2 linked regions of the Arabidopsis thaliana genome follow. The protein of the gene in region 2 interacts with the protein of the main gene of each other region in a pairwise test. Each region holds a gene or a part of one and is shown on either strand. Other genes may lie near its edges. The genes, in order: AT3G12930 and AT2G34750.

The links.
Region 1: the proteins of AT2G34750 (region 2) and AT3G12930 interact in a two-hybrid assay, tested with the Arabidopsis thaliana proteins (one large-scale study listed by BioGRID).

What each region holds. Positions count from the first base shown.
Region 1 is NC_003074.8:4,126,484-4,130,635, forward strand, and holds AT3G12930 (Lojap-related protein), read left to right. Parts: upstream 1-1,850; 5' UTR 1,851-1,981; coding exon 1,982-2,221; intron 2,222-2,385; coding exon 2,386-2,512; intron 2,513-2,606; coding exon 2,607-2,745; intron 2,746-2,827; coding exon 2,828-2,916; intron 2,917-3,011; coding exon 3,012-3,133; 3' UTR 3,134-3,473; downstream 3,474-4,152. Other genes in the region: AT3G12940 (2-oxoglutarate (2OG) and Fe(II)-dependent oxygenase superfamily protein), read right to left, coding at 3,795-4,152. UniProt on the Arabidopsis thaliana protein: May be a ribosome silencing factor. Involved in plastid biogenesis.
Region 2 is NC_003071.7:14,659,588-14,666,554, forward strand, and holds AT2G34750 (RNA polymerase I specific transcription initiation factor RRN3 protein), read right to left. Parts: upstream 4,818-6,967; 5' UTR 4,549-4,817; intron 4,267-4,548; 5' UTR 4,206-4,266; coding exon 4,077-4,205; intron 3,956-4,076; coding exon 3,866-3,955; intron 3,774-3,865; coding exon 3,702-3,773; intron 3,598-3,701; coding exon 3,526-3,597; intron 3,440-3,525; coding exon 3,203-3,439; intron 3,112-3,202; coding exon 3,001-3,111; intron 2,914-3,000; coding exon 2,809-2,913; intron 2,692-2,808; coding exon 2,566-2,691; intron 2,458-2,565; coding exon 2,389-2,457; intron 2,278-2,388; coding exon 2,171-2,277; intron 2,068-2,170; coding exon 1,984-2,067; intron 1,874-1,983; coding exon 1,786-1,873; intron 1,605-1,785; coding exon 1,491-1,604; intron 1,398-1,490; coding exon 1,213-1,397; intron 1,115-1,212; coding exon 862-1,114; 3' UTR 719-861; downstream 1-718. Other genes in the region: AT2G34740 (protein phosphatase 2C family protein), read left to right, coding at 1-231, 332-486, 569-718.

The sequences.
Region 1 (4,152 bases), on a different chromosome or scaffold from region 2:
TCTTCTAACAAACCAATGTAACTTGACAACAACCAATTAGTATAAAGGAGCAAAATATATTATTACAAGAATTAGAAGCAACGGTGGTATTCAACGATGGAATTTATACGCGTATTAATATAAATAAATGAAAGATTTTGGTGGGGGAAGGGAAGTTGATATATAGATCAATGGAGCTCATTGTCAACATTCAAACATCTCATTACTTCTATCGGAAACACACTTAACAAAGACTTTAATTTCCACTCCTTCTCGCACCTCATTGTTACAAAACTTCTCATTTTTATTTATTTTGTCTACTCCATATTCCACGATATTTTTGACCGTTGCACTTGAATTCATGCACCAGCATGTGGACCCACCTAATCTATCTGATAAAGTTATAATTGAGTAGAGCAGCAAAAACTCATACGAATTTTCAAGTCTTTACACGTTACGTGGATCCAAGGCAATTTGTAGATCGAGACGGAGCCGTAATTATCGAGGACTCATATAAACAATATTATTAACGTATAACGTAGTATAAAATAAAAGAAACATCTCCATTATATGGGTTACTCACTCATGTACCTTCACCTAATCCTTCTGACCTATCCCCACGTTAACGTTTCATTTTGGAATCAGATGCCACCCACAACTAATCTCTCTTTCCATGTTTGATATGAATCGTATTTATCCTCTGTCGATAGCTCCAATTTGACTAAGTTGTCATATTTAAATTAATTAACTAGTGTGTTAATTAGCTGCCAAGATTGATTAACATATAAAATCTTTGGGTGAAGATAAGGAATCAACCTCACCCTCCCACCCACTACACATATGAACAGAAAACAAGTGAAATCGATAGGTCTTTCTCTTTTCTCAATATAAATATGGATATTAATTATACAATAACCATAATGGAAATTAAAAAAAAAAGGAAATGTGAGACCATGAGAAGACGTGAATTCACTGTCAACTTTTAAGAGAATGCATGAAAATGTGTAGAGAGAAAAAAGGGGTCGGCAAAAGAAAATGAATGGCTCTTCCTCTCCAATTCCATTACACCACATTTCTCCGTGGATTTATGTCAATATCTTTGAAAATTTTGTGTGTTTTGAGTATAGATGTGATATAACAAAAGAAAATGTCAGAATTGTAATGAACAGAAAAATAAATGGTACCCGAAAAACCAAGAAAAAAAATTAATAAGAAAAATGTTGACAGGAAGGTAGATGTGCGGTTGTATTATTTGCAATGTCCCTCTCTTGCTCTATAATTACACAAACTTGTCCAATTCATCACACTTCCCCAACCAAACTTGTTTGCTTCATATAAATTATTTTATAAAAAGTATATAATGTATGCAGGCAGAGACATGTGTGTGTCTGTGTAGGCTACTAGCTACCTCTCTTTTTCATAAATTATATCGATTGATTCCGTGGGATTATGACCTATGTGAGACTGTGACATTTGAGGTTTTTTTGGCCCTCTGTGTTATGTACTCATCATAGAATGCGACATTTTTTTATTTATATATATATGATTAATGATCAATGCCAATTTGGGAACTCTAGTAAGTATGCTTTTAGTGGTCCACCCCCATTTCTAGTCTTATCTTTTCGATAATTTCGTTTCTCATTTATTCCATTCTCAACAATCTTGCCTGATAATACCAACCAATCAAGTCAGCTCCATTTTTTAAAAATCTTAGAATAAAATCTAAACAACAACACACAGTGATAGAGAACATTCGGCTATGGAATTAGAAGTTGCCTGCATGTTTATTATCTGTCTATCTGATATGGATCCTTGAAACAGGCCCATTTCGAGATATTAGAGGCCCAAAACGAAAATAAGAAATAAGCCCATGATACGATGTGTGTAATTAATTAACACAAAATTGAATATCATTAAGTTAATACTTTTATCAGAACAAAGGCGAAGGGTTTTAGATATCTTATCCGCTTGACGAGTAGAGTTTTCGAAACCAGCGAGATTAATGGCATCTTCCACCGGTCTCACCGTCGCCGGAGCTCTGCTTGCCGGAGATTTTCGATTACCAGCTGTATCGTCTCTAATACCCAGAAAGACTTCTTCTTCATTGTCATGCCTTAGCAACAGAGATTTATCGTCTCCTTATAATTGCTGTTGGCGACTATCCAGAGGCAAAATTTTGACTTCTCTCAGTAACTCACGGAAATTTGCTGTGGGAAAGGAAGCAGAAGATGGGTTTCTATCGGTACGATCAAACTCTTACCGTTTCGATTTTGCCTTGCAATTTCTACAGTAATTGTATTTGTTCTAGGAAGTAATTTGGTGCGAATTACCTGATTAAGTAATGCTTAAGAAAGATTAGAACTTTAGAAGTGCTGAGTATAGTTGGTTTGACAATGCGTTGTGCAGAATGTGAGCGAAGATACTGATGAGATGTTCGACGACTTGTTCAACAAATATGGGAAGGTTGTTTTTAGAAGCACTGATGTTAAGTCTCCAACAGCTGAGGTTGACGATGATGCAGAGAGTTTAGCATGTAAGCCAAAGCCTTATATTCATTTGCAGTATATATTTCTTGACCTATTTGGCTTTAGCAATGGTATTGATGTTGTTATTCACATTTGTTGCAGTTGCTGTTGAATTGGCTAAAGTTGCGAGTGATGTGAAAGCTGGAGATATTAAGGTCCTCTTTGTCAAGCCTCTTGTTTACTGGACTCGGTTTTTCATCATTGCCACTGCGTTTTCCCGCCCTCAAATTGATGCAATAGGGTACAGATTTATTTAGACTTGCTCATATATTCCACTTTGGAAAACATCAAATTTACTTTCTCTTCATGAACTGCGAATGCAGATCCAGGATGAGAGACCTGGCTGAGAAGAAGTACGGAAAAGTTGCTAATGGAGATGTAAAGCCAAATTCGTGGACGTTGTTAGATTTTGGTGAGTTTCTTCTTGCGTTGTTGGCATGCCTCTAGTTCAATGTGTCATGTGAGGGTAAAATAATGACAGTTTTATGTTGATTGATATACTTTTAGGTGATGTGGTGATCCATTTATTCTTACCTCCGCAAAGGACATTCTATAACTTGGAAGACTTTTACGGGAATGCTATGCAAATTGAACTTCCCTTTGAGGATCAGTCACAACCACGGAACTGATATGATGAGACAGTTTGTTCCAAAAAAACAAAAAGTAACAGTTTGGAAGAAGAAAGTCTGTTGATTCTCTTCACTGGCTAGAGTCATGCCACATGAAGGCTGTAGATTTTTTTGTTTGTTTGTCCAGGCAATGCCTGATTGGTTACACTACACAGCTCTTGGCGTGAGGGGTTGATGGGCCAACAATATCAGGAGATCTCAGACATGTTTCTAGATTGTTTGTTGGGTAGAGTTAGACCCAAACTGTGTTCCGGCTTTATGTAATGTATGCTTTAGGATGATTCTTCATGTTATGGAACACACACTGACCAAGACTCTAATCTAATTTGCTTTCAACAGCAACAAAATTCATGCACCAAAAGAACTCAAATCTTATTCATCAAAATCACTGACTGGCCATATGAGATGGTTTTTGTGCATAGATGAGAATCCTGGAACATGCTATACTTGTATATTATACAAAGGCACAATGTACAATGAGTCAGATAATAAGAGTCACTCATACAGCTCTATCTTGTCTCCCTGTTCCATAGATCATACACAGCATGTGCAACCACTGACACTGAAACCTGACTAAGAGTCAAGGCAACCAAGAGACCAAAACTGGAAGACTCATTTTCGCATCTCCTGCAATCAAAGAAATGAACTGGTAACCTCGGGATCAAGTCTCAGCGAAAGGAAAAGGAGTGTTATTGGGTGAAGAATGGTTACAGTTAGTCACATGTTGGTTTCCCTGAGCGGTTTCAGACAGACTGAACTCCATGTCATGTGTTTCAGACCATCCAGGCTCATATGTCTCAAGGAAACCGATTTTCGCTTTATTGGGTAGGTCGTGAGGATGAACAAATGGAACTCCGTGCGGCCACCCGATCTCCCTTCTTATATTAGCACAAGGGCTGTTCATTACATTGTGGTTATTCTCGCACTCCTTGAGATTGCAGAATCTTAGTTTGATTCCTTTTTTATCTGCAATCTCCTGAACTCGTTCCTTGAGAACTCTCTGTGCTTCTAACCTCAGC
Region 2 (6,967 bases):
AATCTACGGACGACTACATTCTTCAAAACGTGGTTGGTCCACGAGGTGGCTCCACGGCTGTGACGGCTATAGTAATTGATGGGAAGAAAATTGTGGTTGCAAACGTTGGAGATTCAAGAGCAATCTTGTGTCGTGAAAGTGATGTAGTCAAACAAATTACGGTTGATCACGAACCTGACAAAGAGAGAGATCTTGTCAAGAGCAAAGGCGGCTTTGTCTCCCAAAAGCCAGGTCCCTTCTTTTGTATCTTTTACTAAGAAGAAAAGAGAAAATGATCTATTTCGGACTTCCAAGGCAAAGCCAATAAACCCATGTTACTTATAATGATTAGGCAATGTTCCGAGAGTGGATGGACAACTAGCGATGACGCGTGCGTTTGGAGACGGAGGCCTTAAAGAGCATATAAGTGTGATCCCGAACATAGAGATTGCCGAGATCCACGATGACACAAAGTTCTTGATCTTGGCTAGCGATGGACTCTGGAAGGTTTCTACATATGAATGCCATGGGACGTTATTAATTGGTGCACCCAAAGATAGGACTAAATCTTGATTGGTTTCTTTGTCAGGTGATGTCGAACGACGAGGTTTGGGATCAAATCAAAAAGAGAGGGAATGCAGAAGAAGCTGCGAAAATGCTAATTGATAAAGCCTTGGCTAGAGGAAGTAAAGATGATATCTCTTGTGTTGTTGTTTCTTTCCTTCAATGGATCGATTAAATGATTCAAGTATCTTTAATGTTTCATTAGGTGAACCACATATTAAGCAGTTTTTTGAAAGGAAAACAAACATTGTTTCATACAATAATATGTTCTCAGTCGAATCACTGTTACATATTGCTACAAAAATGTGTATAGTAGAATCACAAGGATTCAGGACTCGTTGACGGTCTGATCCTGGAAGGCATTCTTAAAAGTCTGTCTCTTTCCATCTTGTTCTTGAAAGAGTGCTTAGGCGTTATGGACATCTTGTTCAGGGCGTAATCAAGATCAGCCTCGTCATCTTCGTCACTGTCCTCATCTCCATTCACGATCACCTCAGCATCATTATCATCATCATCTTCGTCATAGGTCGCTTTGACCATTGACCAGTAGATGAAATTTGGGGAGATAAAGCTACAACATCACCCAAGAAAATGCAGAAACAGAGTCAAGACTTTCAATTAAGATTCCTGTAAAAGAATCGGTGCAATGGTTTAAAGATAGAGATGAACCTGTTTGAGGATTTTAGCAAGCAAGGGTCAAATGGGAAGAATGTATCCAGCCTCTCAAACCCGCCAAAAGCACGGGAAAGCTCAGACTCAAGTAGGTCATCGAAAATGAACGAGTCTGAGACGATGAACAGACCACCTTCTTTAGCTTGTCTAAGGAACTCCGCAACTACCGATGGAAGGCATACCTATTCTCAAAGCAGAATTCGCTTATCATGCATTTGATACATTGGCACACTTCCATATAACAGTTGACCTTATGTGACGAAAAGATAACTCACCATCAATGGGTTTAGTTTGTGCATTAATATTGACTCCAATGGTGTAAGCTGGGACCGAAAGCGAGGAACATCCAAGATGGATCTCATCCTGAAGCAGAGCACATACATGATTGCCTGTGGTCACAGAACAGATTCAAATGACAGTTTAAAATAATGTAACTACATTTTGGAATGACTCTTTGAAACTTAAAACTCTCAAGGACAGGTAAAAAAAATATTTTCGAGGATGAAATAGCAACAGAGTGATTGTAGAATTTTGTGACAGCAGGGGCCTGGGCTTGAATGCTATATATACCTGACATCCGGAGAAGAAAATCTGATGTGCTTCAGGCCTAGTATCATCATTGCAAGTTCTGCAGTAACCCACACACTCATCTATCAACCTAAAATTTTTGGACACAACAAAAACAATGTTACAAGTTACAACAAACTGAAGCTTCAATCAGATAAAATGATTATGTTTGAGGTGACATTTTGTAGAAATCGCTTCCACCTTTTCAACATGCTAGCCACAAAGGAAACAGGCAAAAACTTTCCACGAGCCAAGAAGCTAGCAAGATAAGCCACCGCACTCATTCTGTTAAGGGGGAGAGACAAAAGCACAACCAAGTTTGTGATTAGAACAATGACAGAACATATCATGCAGCGAACGAGAAAATTTAAACCGAAGGGATGCTTGCCTAGTAGCTACATGCTTGTTGCTGGAGAGAAAAATCTCCACTAGCTTACTAGCAAATTTCACACCACAATTTTCAGGATCCAGTGAGCAGGCATAGAATATCAGAAACTGCAGATGATATAGAAAGTGAGTATAAACCGAGACATTTCATGTCGACCATGCTAGAGTCTAGAAGAATATGTACATAATTATGCAAAATATGATAGCTATATGGACTACCTGGGTGAATTTTGATTTGTATGTGTTCAGAATGAAGTTTTCAAATGACTTGAAGAGGCTTTCAAACACCTACGCCAAAATAATTAAAAAAAATCAGAAGTGCTAAGAAGATTCTCGAGTCCATCATTAAGGAAAGTATAGATGCATATGTCAATGAGGTCCCATTTGGTGCCATACCTGATCCAAACGACCATCATTTTGACAGGATTCAAGATGCTCAAAAGCTACGACCATCAATTTGTCCAACAACTTAGAGACTATACTTCCATCTGATGTATCCTGCTTTAGAGGTCCCACTGGAAGCTGCAATAGATAAATCAAGTCCAAACTTTCGTAGTTCAGCAAAAAGAATGTTCCAACTAACTTGTTATCTAGCAACTTTTAACTGATACCAAAAGGAAACATAAACATAAAGTCTACCTCGTCTCCATCATTCATAGTGCCTTCAGCTGCATCTTCAAGTTCCATATCAAACATTCCTCTACTAGAGTCATCTTGTGGAATATCATCCCATTCAATCTCTAACTACAAGGATACACCAGCATATCATTCACTCACCAATACCACATTACTTACTGACCTCAATTGTATAAGCATATTCTGTCTACTTACATCCAAATCTCGCAGCCTCTCCATCACCATACCAAGAATCATGCTGCCACCAACTTGCCCTATTGAGCTATTCTCCAATTTTAATAAGCTCTCCACATATATCACTATCGACTGCAAGGCGGTAAGATAGTTTCGTATGAGTTTATCGCCAGTATGAGCTTACAACTAAATTGTCCAAAATTTACCAAAAAGAAAGACTCACATGGTCCTTTTTGTGCATCTTGGGCATTTGCTGGAAGAGCATTGGCACTAATCTTGAGGGAGTAAGAGGAACCAAAATAGAGATTTTCAGAAGCGCTGCATGCACCCGAGAAAGAACGTCTATCTTCTTGTTTAGTATACGGGAGTGCGAAAGGTTATTCACTACCCAAGGAGGTGGAACGAAGTTGCTTACGAGCATATTCAGACAAGAGTCTAAATACTTTCCACTAGTGACAGCCTGCGATGGAAAAAAGGCAAAAGTTAAATGGTCTAGCTCTTCATCTAGACTAATAACAATAGGCGGGTAAATGTTGAGTTGTGTACCAGTGATATGACAAGGTTCACCAATGCATCCATGACATCAGGTCTGTGGTCCCACAATTTCATTCGAAAAAGCTAGACATAACAATTGGGATGAAATCCAGGGTAAGATTTGGGAGGATCCATCTTAAAACTATTTAAATTGGAAGCAATTGTAAGCTCGTGCAATAGAAACTTACCGCAGAAAGAAGCTTTTGATGGTGAAGGACATCTATGCAAGCCACAGCGCCTGATAGAGCTTTCAAGACTGTCTGCCAGTTCAATTGAAAAATGAAAACACTTTAGCAAACAGAAAAAGAACAAATAAGAAAGAATTGATTGCCATACAAAGAATAGATCACACCTCAAGCTGCGCCACTACATCAGGATCCTTAAATTCTTTGATGTCCCGTGCCATAACTCCAACCATCTCACTATAAAGGTCTGAGTCCCCCTGTCATTAGCAAAGAATTAATAAAACTAGTATCAAGAAGCATAACAGATAATATAGCATCAAATATATATAACTGTAAACACATAAGCAGAGGAAGAAGCAAAACTTGCACAACACTCACAGTTTTGACAGATGTAAGAGCCTTTCTCACGGTCTGCACCAATTGCGTATCAGATAAATCAACGTTGTCCACATAGTTCTCGACTGTGCATAAGCTCGATGGATCACTCATAAGCTCTACTGCTCCCATCCTCTCTGGACTTAATGTAAATCGTGCTGCTACTTCAAGTTGCCGAAAGTGTGGAACTTTCCTGATGGACAAGAGAAGTATTAAGAAATCTCAAAACTTTCAACATTAACTTATACTCAAGACACCATAAACACTCAATTTAAACTCACTAGAAACAATATCTGGAAAAGTCTCTGAATTTAGACTAAATGTTAAGTATTGAAGCTATATAGACTATCAGCTGCGAAAATAGGGAAAGGAGAGCTATAAGAATCGATGTAACCAAGTAAAATCTCCATTGATTACAGATTTTACAAGAGAAAACTAGTATAAAGACACAAAATACGACGGTGAGAGAACTCACGAGGATGAATAATTGAAAGGGTCCGTCAGCTCAGGGAAACCCTTGTCACTGTCCCGTTCTGATAATTCCGGCCTTCGTTTTTTACTCCTTCGCTATGGTTTTTTCTTGGAGAAGAAAAATAGAGAAGGAGCAGATTCTGATGAAAGACGGCGATAATCGATAAATAATAGGAGACGTTTAGGGTTCACACTTACTTTTTCCTATTTCTTTAATTCCATCTTTTTTTTTCTTCACTATTGTCGTCATTACATCAAATTTTGTTTTCTATGTTTCTGTCGTGTGACAAACACAAATTTTTACTTAATTTAAGTAAGTGAACTATAGACATTATTTTTGGTTAATTGGTCTACTTTGATTGCTCACATAACCATAACTAAATAAGACCAAACCAGATATATATAAACCAAAACGAGAAAAGATTAGGGCCAACACACATACAAATTAGTTTCTCATTACAATTTTTACACCCAAAACAACAGACAAAAGAGCAATCAAAGCCAGCGGATACGAAAAGAAAACAACTCCATTTAAAGATCTAAAAATCTCAAGCATCGAGGTCAGCATCTTCATCCATCTCCTCTTTATACTCCTCTTCATCAGCTGTAGCATCTTGATATTGCTGATACTCAGCCACAAGATCGTTCATGTTACTCTCTGCTTCATTAAACTCCATCTCGTCCATTCCTTCTTCTGTGTACCAATGCAAGAAAGCTTATCTCAACATCAGGCTGATATAACCAATATCTTACTTCTTTTACATTTGTGAAATGGAACCAACCCATTTTTCTGGAAAAAGTGCTAACCAAACATTTGATTAACCGTATCACTACTACTTTCATTTCTATCTTCTGTTTCATTATGCTGACTATTTAAGCTCCGTTGTCAAATCTCTAAGTTAGACATAAAAGACAAAGACTAATCAATTGTCATCACACCAGCGTCGTCGAGTGAGCTATATTAATCGTGGATTTTAAGCATTAAAGAAACATTCTATAGTACTAAAGCAAATAAAATAATTATAATCAAACACTATGCTTGACACTGGTCACGTGTACTGGTAGTGAATGATTCTACATCATAAGAGGCCGCATCAAAATCCTAAAAATAAGCATAATGAATTAATCATTTACAAATTTTATTTTACTCAATAAGAAAATCGAAAGTATGATTATTATCTAGCTGCCACAATCTTCGAATTTAATATTTACTCAAGAAGAGACCGACTTTAATCCTTGACTTTCTCATTGCTCTATGGAAAATGATTAAAGCAGTCAATAAAATCTTTTGACATTGTTGGCAGAAGACCAATAATTCGAAGTCTAAAATGTAATCGTCCACACAGTGTATGAGTATCCTAGTATTTTTTTTCTTTTCCATATAAGTTGAATTTGTAATATATATAGTGTAATGTTGTTTATTTGTGGCAACGTACAAAATTGGGAATCCTATAAGTGCGACGACAAGTGACAAGACGAGGCTATGAACAGCTAATGTATGAAGAGAGCCAAAAGAGCAACAACCTGGCACAGCCGTTGTTTTTTTTGAATATATTGACGATTCGTTGGCCTCCGAGATCTAAGGCATCTCTCACAATCAACGGTCCAGATTCCATCTAGAAGATATATTACACCGACCTTGTTTTCTCTATCTAATTCTCACACACACACCAACGCAAACCTCCAAAACAGGGCCGGGGCGATTCATTCACAATCTCGGCGATTCTCTCTTCCGTCTCGAGTCGCTGAGATCCATCAGGTTCGTTTCTATTCGAATCTATTCTCTTGAATCCGTATTTGTTTCCTTTCCTCTCTAGATAGATTTCATTTTTCTGGAAACATTGAGATTTCCATTGATTTGATGTTTAGTGGTTTAGATCGGATAATTTTTGTTATTGACTCTCAAAAAACGAATCATAACTATCTTAAAACTTTGTTTACGCATTGTTATTGAAGGCTAAATAAAAAATGCTCAATTGTTGCTAGAAAGGAAGGTGTCTCGAAAACATGTGAATTTATTTTTTGAGCCTCATTGTTTCTCACTGCAACAATAGTGAATGATTCAATTGAAAAGAACTTTTGGTTAAGCCATTTTTCTCTTTAATAGATTATGTGTCTCAACTCAATTAGGAACTGTGTGTTTTTTTGTTTCCTTGATGTTAACTTGTGAGTTGATTTATTTGGGTAGTTTACTTGTATATATATTTGGTGGTGGGTCCTGGAGGGAAATGAGTGAGAGGGAGCTCTGTTCATACATTCTATGTTTTTAAATGATTAGTATTTTTCTTTCATCTAATACTTGCTTTTTGTGCTAGGAATTTCGATTTTTGGGACTAATTTATCGAGTATATATAATTGGATAAGTGAGTTTGGTATTAATATTAAGAGCAATTAGGTTGGTTATCTTGCCAAACAGTAGACCC